Linked DNA regions of Neurospora crassa OR74A. The protein of the gene in region 1 binds, or shares a complex with, the protein of each later gene. Links are inferred from orthologs where the notes say so. Each region holds a gene or a part of one and is shown on either strand. Other genes may lie near its edges.

The links.
Region 2: NCU02661 (region 1) and NCU08030 share a complex: the UniProt entries of both Saccharomyces cerevisiae proteins name them as parts of the RNA polymerase II (Pol II) complex. The link is inferred for Neurospora crassa OR74A from reciprocal best matches to the Saccharomyces cerevisiae genes RPB7 and RPB8.

Annotation. Positions count from the first base shown.
Region 1 is NC_026501.1:3,098,059-3,104,384, reverse strand, and holds NCU02661 (DNA-directed RNA polymerase II polypeptide), read right to left. Parts: upstream 3,484-6,326; 5' UTR 2,911-3,483; coding exon 2,662-2,910; intron 2,594-2,661; coding exon 2,513-2,593; intron 2,435-2,512; coding exon 2,265-2,434; intron 2,200-2,264; coding exon 2,184-2,199; 3' UTR 1,339-2,183; downstream 1-1,338. Other genes in the region: NCU02660 (DUF962 domain-containing protein), read left to right, coding at 4,374-4,406, 4,555-4,638, 4,710-5,165. UniProt on the Saccharomyces cerevisiae protein: DNA-dependent RNA polymerase catalyzes the transcription of DNA into RNA using the four ribonucleoside triphosphates as substrates. Component of RNA polymerase II which synthesizes mRNA precursors and many functional non-coding RNAs.
Region 2 is NC_026504.1:3,965,578-3,971,128, forward strand, and holds NCU08030 (UDP-glucose 4-epimerase Gal10), read right to left. Parts: upstream 2,635-5,551; 5' UTR 2,474-2,634; coding exon 2,127-2,473; exon of another isoform or gene 2,037-2,126; coding exon 1,925-2,036; 3' UTR 1,624-1,924; downstream 1-1,623. Other genes in the region: NCU08029 (thiamine pyrophosphokinase), read left to right, coding at 454-500, 654-1,623; NCU08031 (paxneb protein superfamily), read left to right, coding at 2,943-4,112; NCU08032 (tRNA-splicing endonuclease subunit sen34), read left to right, coding at 4,726-5,551. UniProt on the Saccharomyces cerevisiae protein: DNA-dependent RNA polymerases catalyze the transcription. of DNA into RNA using the four ribonucleoside triphosphates as substrates.

The DNA of each region.
Region 1 (6,326 bases):
AAATGGGGGTTTTATCGACCCTCTATCCTCCATGTAATGCGAACCCCCACACCCGCATGGGTATTCGAGGGGGAAAGGGAAGACCAAGTCGTCGATGGCAATGCAGATGGAAAAGCACGGCAAATCGCGAGTGCTAGGGTGAGTGGGAAAGCGCCATCCTCTCGGAGAAATCGATGGCGAATTGCTACTCTACGCCGGGGTTTTGAGGCTATTCCCGTTGGGGACGCAGGATCTAGGCTGGGTAAGACGTACTGACACTGTACCACTGACTGTCCTGGATGATGTGATTACACCGAAACAAGGAGTTGAGGGTATAGGGTGTAGGTGCATGCCCAGATATATGCAAATATCACACCGGGCAGTGTTCAAGATCCCCTAGACCACTGGTCAAAAAAAATATCAGTGACGAACATACCTACTTTGTGTGCTAAAAGTTTGTCTTGAGCACGGCAGTCGACTCTCAATTCCCTTCCACCTCTCAGCATGATCTACAGCCTCCTTTCGGGTCCTGACAGCAATGACAGCTTAAAAGGCGCCAAAGAGACATTGCCGGCACGGAATCCTCCAAAGTTTTTCAACAACACAAAAAGAGATGGTAGCACAACGTCGATGGCTTTCCTATTGTATTACAATCATAGCAAGTGCAGCAATGTTTAAAGATACCTCTATGATAGAGGGAACATGAGATGAAATAGAGCGGCACGGAAGCCTCTCCGCGTCGGTGGAATGGGATTATAGCTGAACCTCCAGCGGCATAGGTAGCAGATTCAACCCCAAATGGATATGATGACAACTTGGTACAAGTCCAGATATCCTCCTCCAACTTTGGCCTTCTTTCTTTGGTGTTTGATGCCCACACCCCGATTCAACTTCTCGCCTCCGCTTTACTTCATTCTGGGGATTTCTTCACACCGATCTGGCCCCCACTGTTACCCCCTTCTGCTCTAGTTCGCCCGACGTATTTCGGCCATACTATTCTTCCACAAAGTCAAGAGATATCGTAGCCTCACGATGGACAGGTCACCGGCCAAACGTTTACTGCATAGTATCAACTCGACGACTTAGTGGATGAACCTCCCCCCTTGTCGTTTTATTCTTTTCCCCACGTCTTCACTGCTGCGTAACCCCCGCGCTTCGTTGAAGATTATGGAACCATTGAGATATGGTGCTTCAAGGTCCTTGTAAATGTTGCGGGAGGATCGTAGATGGGCACGCACCAAGTTGTCAGCTTGAAATGGGAGGTTTCCCCCCACGGCAACTGAGCCATCACAACATCCCACCTCGTTGGGTACCATCACATGGTATAATAGCCCGAGACTGAATGCTTCCTAGTCAAGACGTTCAGGAGATAGACCGGGGAGTCGAGTTTATGAGCCAAGCGAGTGCTGCGGTGTCTCTTATACTGTCTTTGCTCATGGTAACTGAGCACCTTAGCTGAACAAGGATTATTCCCTCTAAGTACAATCGCGCGAGATGCCCTCTGTGGTATCGCAGACAGTCGTTTTTTGTTGGTCAGTCTAAGCCAAGCACCCGAGAACCTTGAGGCATTGTACCCGCAAAACTCTGAAGACATCATCATGTGCCCATGTATTAAGAGCGACATGTCCTCCATGTCGCAGATACGTCGATAATGTCAGTTACCCAAATACCAGTAATCACGCTCAAACACAGAAAGCATGCTGCAAATACCTCAAAAAGAAAAAACCGTCAATAGACTCCAGGCGCCGCTTGTGGCCCCAATAATGCCTCAAAACGCCACAGACAAAGGTTTTACGCACCCCAAGCAAATCATGACAAAAATACCAACCCCGTTGAGTCTCATTCGGACGAGACATCTCCTTGAAAGCCCTTGAGCGTGTTACCGCCGCACTCCCGCGTGCAATACAACAAGGGGCTCGATCATATTGCCGCCCACGCGCTGCTAAGGGGCAAACATGATCCTTCATAAACCGCCACAGAGATCCTGAAACGGCCCTCGATACGGATGGCTTTCAGCATTGCCCAGAAGACTTGCTTCTTGACCGGGCCAGAGGCTTCATCAGCCGACCAGAACTGTTGATGTAAACCCAGGGTATACTCTAACTCGTGGCTTCACTAGGATTCTGTTGAGCGAGTACCTCGTAGTAGTTGAGCGAGTCCAAACCCTTCGTTTGGGAATGACCTTCTTGCATCTTGCAAGTCCCTTATGCTTGCAGACACCTGGAAAGGAAGAAACTGGTTAATAACAAACAGCACAACCACGCCGCTAAGACGTGGAAACTCACCCAAGGAAATCTCCGTTGATGCTGCCAATGGCATACATCTCACCCAATTCCGTTCTTAAGCCACCAATCTTGACGCGCACGTGCGTACCGGGCTCAATGACCATATCAGCGTTATTGGTAAACTGAGGAGGCGTCGCGTTGGGGTCGAAGTGGATTTCTTCGGGCATCAGCTATAGTTCTCTTGTCAGCGATCGAAGTTCGAGGGCATCGTATGTGCGTATCCAAAAAGACCGTAGGCGTCATCGTACGTGAGATGAAACGAAGATGGAGAGCGGGCCAGCTTGGCAGAAGAAGCCGTGAGGATTGATGGAAAAGACAATAGCATCCACCTGTAGGGACTCCTCGTTAGACCATCCGAACGGAGAGAACACCACCGAGAATCTTCGCTGTAACGAACCACTTCGCCTTTGAACGGCCTCCAAACCACAGCACGGTACTTCACAGTGAACTCGGCCAGGCCGTTTCCGGGGAGGATGCGGCCCTCGCTAACGTCGAACGCATCCATGATGGCAATGATGTAGTAATCACCGGCACACGTCCCTTCCACGTCCTTGACCAATTTGGTCGTGACAAGTTCGTGCATGTTCCTGCCGAAATAGGATGGATGCAGGGTAACCCGCCGCTCGAGGTTATGGAGGAAAAACATTGTGGCGGGTTAGTACTGTGGGATCGGGGTGTCGTCGGCTGAAAGTGGGCGTCGATAAGACGATGCCCTGGAGAGGTTATGCGCCTCGGGATGCCTTCGCGCGGCTGTCGTGTCGAGGGGTGCGACGGCGGCGGCAGTGCTGTCGAGACTTGGGCAATTGAAGTCGCGTGTCGGGACGAAAATGACAGTGAGGGCGAGATGCGAAAATCGACAGCAAGAATGTTGGTGTAGGGATCGTGTCGAAGGTGATACTTGGTTTTGTGGGGAGACGTCGTGACGGGAGAGCAAGGCTGACGGAATACACTAGATATCGACTATGATGGAACAAAAGCTTGGAGGTTCTGGAAGTGGTAGCCTCCAACACAGAGACCGCCGCAGACGCGGTTTCGGGACTTTGCCTTGCGAGCTTGGCCTGTCACTCGTCCCTTGACGTTTAGCACATGGCTCGTGCACAATCTGCAAGGAACAGCACTGACCACACGGAAGCGGTCTTGGCGCTGCCGGGATTCGGTGTTGTCCACAACTTCAACACCAAATATCCCAATTCCATCATATCATTCAACCAGACCAGGCATAAGATGCTCGTTGTAAGGCTTGTGAAATAATCTGCTGTACTATCATGTAGCGGGTTTTTCTTAAGGGAGTGTGTCTTCTACCAGCCCCCAGCGTTCCTTAGTCGTTCATGTAGCTGTAAGCTCGAGTAAAGGTACCATGGCTCATGCCGTTTCAACATGTGACAAAGACAGACTGTCGAATGATGTCTAAGAAGGAAGATTCGAATGGCCACAGCAAAGACAGTATGGTGGTTCGAGAAGCCAAAAGATGAGAACGCTCATAAACAAGACTTGAAACGGGTAACTCACGATTGATCACCTTTCTTACACCACAGCTGTTGGCCTTCCACTTTAGGTTGTGACGTTAACGTTCGTTGACCGAGAGGTAACCGCGTCGGTAGGAGCACCGACAGAGGCGGGGCACGTTCGGGTCCTGTCAGCATGCGTTTGATAGCGCTGTGGCCGTCGAGTTGGAGGGTTTGCGGGGGTGGGCCGGCCGGGAGCCTTAACAGGTTCCCTTGTTCCTGTTGATGGCGACTCCACAACCGAGGCATCCACACGTAGCTTTTAGCCCTCTGAGAATATGAAGATGGATATGCGGAGTGGAACACCAGACAGACTCCCACATCACCAGATCCCGCCGCTCTCTGGTCTTCATTAGCTGCACGCTCTGCTTTTCGAACACTACCAATTCCACCTGTTGCTCGTTTATACACATGTGGCAGTGATTCATTTCCTCTCTTCACTGGTCGCCCTCGACGCAACTCGACTTGTCATCTACTGTCGCTCTCCTGTCTCGGGTCTCACGGAACTGAGCGAGATCTCGCCATCCATTCACACCCTGAACCTCAAGGCTGTCTACAGCACCAACCTAATCATACCGGGCAAATCCGAAGCATCACTTTCACCATGTCCCTCAACCTAGAAAAGCAACTCACCTTTGTAAGCTTTGTTGCCTGAGTTTACCAAGCTCTAACCTACATGCTCCAAGTCGGCCTGCTCGGGCACCCTTGCTTGTTTCGTCCACTTCACCTCGCTCGAAATTCACGAACTGGAGCCTTTTGCTAACTTGTCCTCTCCCTGCTTGCAGTATGGTGCTTACCACTCTAATCACGTTAATGTAGTCATCCACATGATTTGTGTGCCTTTAATCCTCTTCTCAGCCTTTGAAATTGTATGAATTCTTGAACCACTTTCCCTCGTCCCTAGCGACATGTTCTCACACGCCTCATGCTTCCAAACTAGGCCTCCAATTATGGACCATTCTTCACACTCCCCTCCTGGCTTCAGGTACCGTACCTAGAGCCAAACCTGGGCACCTTTGCGGCTCTGACATGGGGCGGACTATACGTTCTCCTCGAGCCGGTCGCCGGCACCGCATTGGCGCTCATCTGCCTCGGTGCTTGCGCCTTCACCAACTATCTTCGCATTGCCGACCCAGTCTTGACCACCAAGGTTGCCATTGTCGTTCACATTGTGAGCTGGCTGGCGCAGTTCCTCGGCCACGGCAAATTTGAGGGCCGTGCCCCTGCCCTCCTGGACAACCTCTTCCAAGCCATCTTCCTCGCTCCGCTGTTTGTCTGGCTTGAACTCTTGTTCATGCTGGGCTACCGCCCGGAGCTCAAGACGCGCGTGGATAAGGCGGTGGCGGTCGAGATTGCCAAATTCCGGGAGAGCAGGAACGCGAAGAAGGCGCAGTAAGGGAAATTCGGCATCCTTTACCGTCCAGCTGCCAGATTAGGAGAGAACCCCGAGGTGACGAGTTGGATTTATGTCAGGGGCGGGTTCAGGGGTAGAGATGTCATGCAACGATGTCAACGACAGGCATGAGCAGCTGTGACTCGACTCTGAGGTTAATGATATCGTGGACGATGTTTGAGCGGGATTTGAACTGGCCCGCGTCTTTATCACGGTCTTGTAGCGCAAGACTTGCTTGTCAAACACGCGGTTCAATGATTGAGATGTGGAATCGCTGCTGAGGTTGTTAGCGTCTGATCCCAAACGGGAGTTTTGATAGTCTATGGACTCACTTTTACTGTACATTAGAGAATAATAATAAATGGCCAGAAGGATCACTGAACTTGACAAGCTGATATCGGCTGTCTAACCGATTGAGATTCTAGAGACCTATAACACGTCAAATTAAGGTCAATTAGAGCAGAAAGTCCCCCACGTCGAAGTCATTCATGAGAAGCAGAAGATGAACGGGAGTTATGACGAAGTACTCATGGTAGACGGTCACTAGAGATGGTGGTCATTGATTTTCAACCAAGAGACCAATGCGGCTGCTTTGTATCATTACTGCTTTGCCAGGCTGCGGTTCATGCAATGTGAGGGAGGACTGCCAAGTGCCTCCCGTCCACCCCAAAGAGCGTACAACCTAGATCGAATAAGGAAAATCATCGGAATTACATTCCGTCACAAGCCACCTCGAAGAGCTGAGCGAGGAAGGCCACAATTAGATTCAAAGGTTCTCCCACAACTGCAATGCTCCCGTTAGAGGTGTACACGTAGTATCCAAGCCCCACCTGGAGTGAAGTGTTGCCTTCATTGTCAGTTGGGCTTCAAACGCTGTTGCCGCCATCTCGGGCAGCCTGGTGAGAGATGACAAGAAGAGGGTGCAGTGAGAACAACCCAAACGGTGACCCAAGCCCCCACACTCCGTTGCCTGGTCAGTTGATAAGATAAAGCCCCCCCGCCTCCACGGAATCGCTAACATCGCCGTCGCTCCACTGGTTCTTTTTCACTTCGCACCACAACTACCCCACCACGTTTCCCTTCCAAAACAACACAACAGATACCGCAATCGCAAATCGCATTTCACATCTTCGCTTGCTTCCTCACCAGAATTTTATATAAGAC
Region 2 (5,551 bases), on another chromosome or scaffold:
CGCTACAAAGCGCCTCAACACGCGACAGGGGCTTTTTGGATTTCTATCCTTCCATAAGTTCTGTCCCGAGTCTCGTCATCTGAACTATCTGAAGGAAAGACGATATGAGATCAATTAATTCACTTGCGCTTGTAACCTCAAACACGAATTCGTTCCATTGATTCAAATATATTGAAAGTGAAGAATTGCCCTGTTGATGCTGTCTCCCTAATTTGAGATGCTTCATGTTCCTCCCCTCCCAATTCCCGACGGTCTTCAATTGCGCTCCCGAACGACAGGAGATTAGCGCACGCCAATATCTGCTTCCCCACGCTCTCTTCCCTTGACAACATCCTCTCACTTGTGCCTCTCAAGCTCAAGTCAACAAATCCAGACTTTCGGCTTCATTTGCATTACTCGATCCCGTGTGACCACGCCCTATTATCCAAGGTCTCGGGAACCCGTTGCCAAACCATGACTCCTCGGTTGTCCACCCTCGACTTGGTGGCTAAAGTCGATGCGTACGTATTTATTTGTTTATTTTTTTTCTGTGAAACCGAATCCTCTGTGTTCACGCCCAGGAACTTAGATGGAACTTCAGTGAACGGATCTAAGGCCTACCTGGATTCCGAACATGACCAGAACGAGCGCTTACATTATCTCTAAAAATCAAGCTTCCCTTACGCGGACCGGGATCCCGAGGCTTATGCCCAGATCATGAAGTCTTTCTACACGTTCGTCTGGGAAGACCAGCAGGGTCAGGTACCCATAGGCTACGTGAAGCTGGACGTTGTCGATGCACTCAACAAAGCCCCGGCAACTCTCAAAGGACAGTTAGGGTTGCACATCGATGTCTCTAATAGGACTGTAGTGCTCTTCCGTGATGCCCCGGACAAAACCTACGAGGAACGCACTCGGCTTGTCGGAAAGCTCACTGCGCTTTGGCGTGAACAAGAGGCATTTGCCATCCTCAAGAGCTGGCGAAACGAGCTGTGGCCAGTTTATGGTCGCAACAAGGAGCTCGTGTTCAGCATAGAGCGGGCAGCTATGGGCCTCTTTGGAACCACACGCTACGGCGTGCATATGAACGCCTTCATCAGACGTCAGGATGCCAGCAGCAAGTATGACTTGAGAATCTGGGTTCCCAAGCGGTCCGCGACCAAATCGACCTATCCGAGCATGTTGGACAACGCGGTAGCGGGTGGCTTGATGACCAACGAAGACCCCTTCGAATGCGTCATCCGTGAGGCGGACGAAGAGGCTTCACTGTCCGAGCATATCGTGAGGAACAACGCCAAAGAGGTCTGCACCATCACTTATATCTACATCACGGACGAGCGCGCGGGAGGCGAGGCGGGGTTGATCTACCCGGAATGCCAATGGATTTATGATCTAGAGCTACCTGCGGATGGAAGTGTCGTCCCCGAGCCAAAAGACGGCGAGGTCGAGAGCTTCAGCTTGTGCACAGTGGAGGAGATCCAGAAACAGCTCGCCCAGGGAATGTGGAAGCCGAACTGTGCCGTCGTCATGCTCGATTTCTTCGTTCGGCACGGCATTTACACGCCTGAAAACGAGCCGCATTACGACGCATTTCGTGACCGGGCTCATCGACACATCGCCTTTCCCGGTCCTCATCAGGCCTGAATCCATCGAGCACCTTCCGCAGGGCACTAGCTCTTCCAAAGGCAGATGGACAGCCCTTGGCTCGGTAGCGGCATAAATACAGGTACTTGCTTTCCGGGTATCGTTGATTCATTACTTTCCCCAGACCCCTTTTCCCTAGGATATGCCTTTTCTGGTCCACGCATAACCTTAAACGCCCGTTCGCCCTCCAAAGATCCAATGAATGTTGCTCGCGCCCTAGACTCTTGATCGGTCTGATGCTATTTAGCCGCTGGAAACATTTGCTTTTTTTCAATTTTTTATTCTCCGGAAATTTCAGCTCTCAAGCGTTCCTGTTGGCGAGGAGGTAGACGTAGTCGACACGCAGGGGCGTGAGCTTCTTGTAGGGACCATCGAGGGCCATCAGAAGACCACCGTAGGACATATACGCCTTGCTAAATTTCGCAACCGAACCAGTCAGCCACTCATTTTCCCCGAATTCCAAGGTCGAGATACTCCTGCCCAATTCCCAGGCAACAACTTACATGGTCTGGCCATCCTTTCCATCCTCAAACTTGTAGACCTTGCCATGGCAGACATACTCATAGCTGTCGGCCAGGGTCTGCTCAACGCTACCGAGCTTGGCAGCATCGCGCCAACCCCTCTCGTCGTCCTTGCTACCGTCGAGGGACAAGGAAGTAGCCAATGCAATTCTAAGGTACTCGCCGACCTTGACAGGGAAGAGCTCCTTGTTGACATCGAGCTGCATGCTGGTCTGGCCATCGACGGAGGTGCAGTACAGACGGTCGACGCGGTCGTACTTGGGATCGCTGATTCTCTCGACCTTGAACTCGTCCTCGAAGAGTTGGGCGTCGGACGTGAGGGCGGACATTGTGAATGCTGGTGTGGAATCGATGAAACAGTCGATGTTGGATATTGATTGCTCGGAAGGATACTAGTGTCAGATTTTGGTCGAGTATCAAACGCGTGTCGATAGGTGGGTAAAACGAATTGTCGCGAGCGGTAGTAATGATGGTGTTTGGGGAAACTTTTGGAGATGCGACTGAGCGATGGAGATGCCGCCATGCAGTTGCCGTCCCAAAAAATTCCAGCCTTGCGGCAATTGGACCAGGATGCCGGGGCAAGTAGTGGGGCAACCACCATTGAAAATCCCTGTCACGCCCGTCCAGTGTGTGACAAAAGTACAGCGGGGCTCTCAGGCACTCCAGTGACGTCCAAGCTTCCATGGAATTTCTTCCAGGGATCGAATCGACTATATTTGGACTTGAAGAATACATACCTCAACATCATCAAGTTTGGATTCGATACTCAAATAAGGACTGCAACTTGCCGACTGAACTATGTCCTTCGTCAAAAGAAACACCGTCCTATCCTCACCGAGAGCCGGACTCACGCCGTCCGCTCCCCAGCAGCAGCAACCCAAACAGGAAACGCAGCTTGCGCCGGGTCTTCGACCATCACCAACTGATGGCAGGTTGACCACTTCAACTGGCACTGCTTCCCTGGACCAACTTCTTGCAGGACACGGTGGACTCCCCTTAGGAACATGCTTACTGGTTGAGGAGCAAGGGACCACCGACTTCTCTGGAATTCTTCTACGGTACTATGCTGCCGAGGGTCTCGTCCAAGGGCATCAGGTTCACGCAGTAGCCTTTCCGCCAGAATGGAGGCATCAGCTTCCAGGGCTGGCTTCACCTGACAAGAAGTCAAAGAGTGCATCACCGGCGCCGGCACCCGAAGAGAAGATGAAGATTGCGTGGAGATATGAGTCCTTGGGTAACAACGCCAATGCAGGAGCTTCTGCTCGTGGGGATTCTGGAGCGCCTTTCTGTCACTCCTTTGATCTCAGCAAGAGGCTTGCCAGCTCCGAGTCCAAGGGTACTCTGAACCCGATTTCAGTTGGCGGTTCCCCGAGCTTAGACCGGAAAAGTGTTGGGACAGCTTCTCCTCTGAAGATGCTTCTCAAGCAATTGCGGGCCAAGTTGGAGAGCTCAGGATCAAACGCCATTCATAGACTGGTGGTGCCCAGTCTCCTCTCACCAACCCTCTATCCTCCTGGATGCGCCCAACCATCAGAGGTTCTACAGTTTCTACATGGGCTCCGGGCTCTCCTTCGACTGTACAGCACCCAGCTCACAGCAATCATTACCTTCCCGACGTCCTTATTCCCTCGCAGTTCAGGCCTGGTCCGGTGGATAGAAATTCTTTGTGACGGCGTCGTCGAGCTCATCCCCTTGCCTGCCAGGCTAGGTGCCGCGCCACCGCCGCCCTCAAGGTCGGATCCCAAGGCAAACGAGCAACCCCAGGGTATGTTCAAAGTATACACACTGCCTGTGTATCATGAGAAGGGTGGTGGAGGAGCAGAGTCGGGCCAATTCCGTGAGAACCTGTCATTCAGCTTGAGCGCATCCAAGGGCTTGGTGATCAAACCGTACAGTCTCCCGCCTATGCTCGAGGATGAGCAGGAGAAGCCCTCAGCTGCTCCAAAGAAGGATGGGCTTGATTTCTAAAGTCATCTTCCGCTTGGCAATTTAACGGCTTGTTTTTTTGCAAATAACCGACTTTTTTTGGCCCCCTTTTGGCAGTCTCATCATATGTTCAGGTGAGCTTCTTGATCATCATTGAAACTCCCGTCTCTTTACTTGCCCAGGTATTGGGCACGCTGTAAGTCCACTCGAGCCACTGAAACCATTGGTGGACGCCCGCCTGGAGCTACCTACGGGCGTACAGCAACACCTGGGGTGGAGCTCAAGGAAAATGTGTGGGGTCGTGGACTCACCGCCCAAATTTCCGCCGTTTTCTGCCACGGCGCGATAAAAGCCCACGCACCTCCGCCCAGAAGTTTCCCACTTTCTCTCCTCGTGTCGTCGTGTCCAACAACAGCATTTTTGGTAAGTCAAAACAGCTCTTTTTGCACACTTCCCAGTTGGTCATTTCATGATGAAACAACAAACGTATCAATCTGTCAATCCCCTGATTCATAGTGATGATAAATACGGCTGTCCAAGGCTTCTGATCCTTTGGCCAATCTATCTCTCCTGTTCACACACGACGCAAGCTCGGTTTAAGAACTGTTTCTAACCAAGAGAAAATTAGGCACTTCATTGTTTTCACACACTTACAATGTCATCAACCGAGGACGACAGACAAGTACGGATCTCCAAGATCGCTGGTCGGTACCTCGTCTTTGATATTGATGATGTGGCGTATATCCGTCGCCAGCATGGCATCTGCGCTGTTTTCACGGGCACCATGCCGCAGAATCCCACTCAGAATGTCTTCCTAGGATTGCCGCTCGAGCTGTATGCCGAGGATGCCAAGATGCTTTTGGACAGAAAGGTTGCCTACATTGCCGATGACCCTTTAGAACACTTGACCCAGTTGAAGTCAATGGATGACGAGACGCGCAAATCATACCTGCAGTCTATCAAGACGCAGCGCAGAACTGCCCAGCTTGTGTTCAATGAGGCCAAGGCACAGTCTATGGCTAAGCACAAGGACAAGCGCAAGCCGAAACAGCCACAGCCCTCTGTTGTCGTACCCACTGAACTGCCGCTGTCAGCATCATCTGCCGATGGCGTTGCGGCCGCCGTAGATCAGGAAGAAGAAGGAGGAGCAGAATTCCTCTTGGAGTCGTCATCATCCAAGCCACTCAAAACGGACGCGTCGACGCCTCCTCAGAAGCCGCTGGTCAAGGAGAAGCTACCTGCAATCACTCCAACCACCAGCAATGCCATGATTTCTAACGGGACAAGTAATCCTGATGTAGAAAACCACACTGCGCTACCATTGTATTCGTACTTGAACGAGAGAGGATACTTCATCACTCCAGGTCTGCGCTTCGGTGGTGACTTTAGCGTCTACCCCGGCGACCCCTTCCGCTATCATGCTCATTATATGGCGAACAGCTATGGGTGGGATGAGAAGATCCCCATGTTGGATCTCGTCA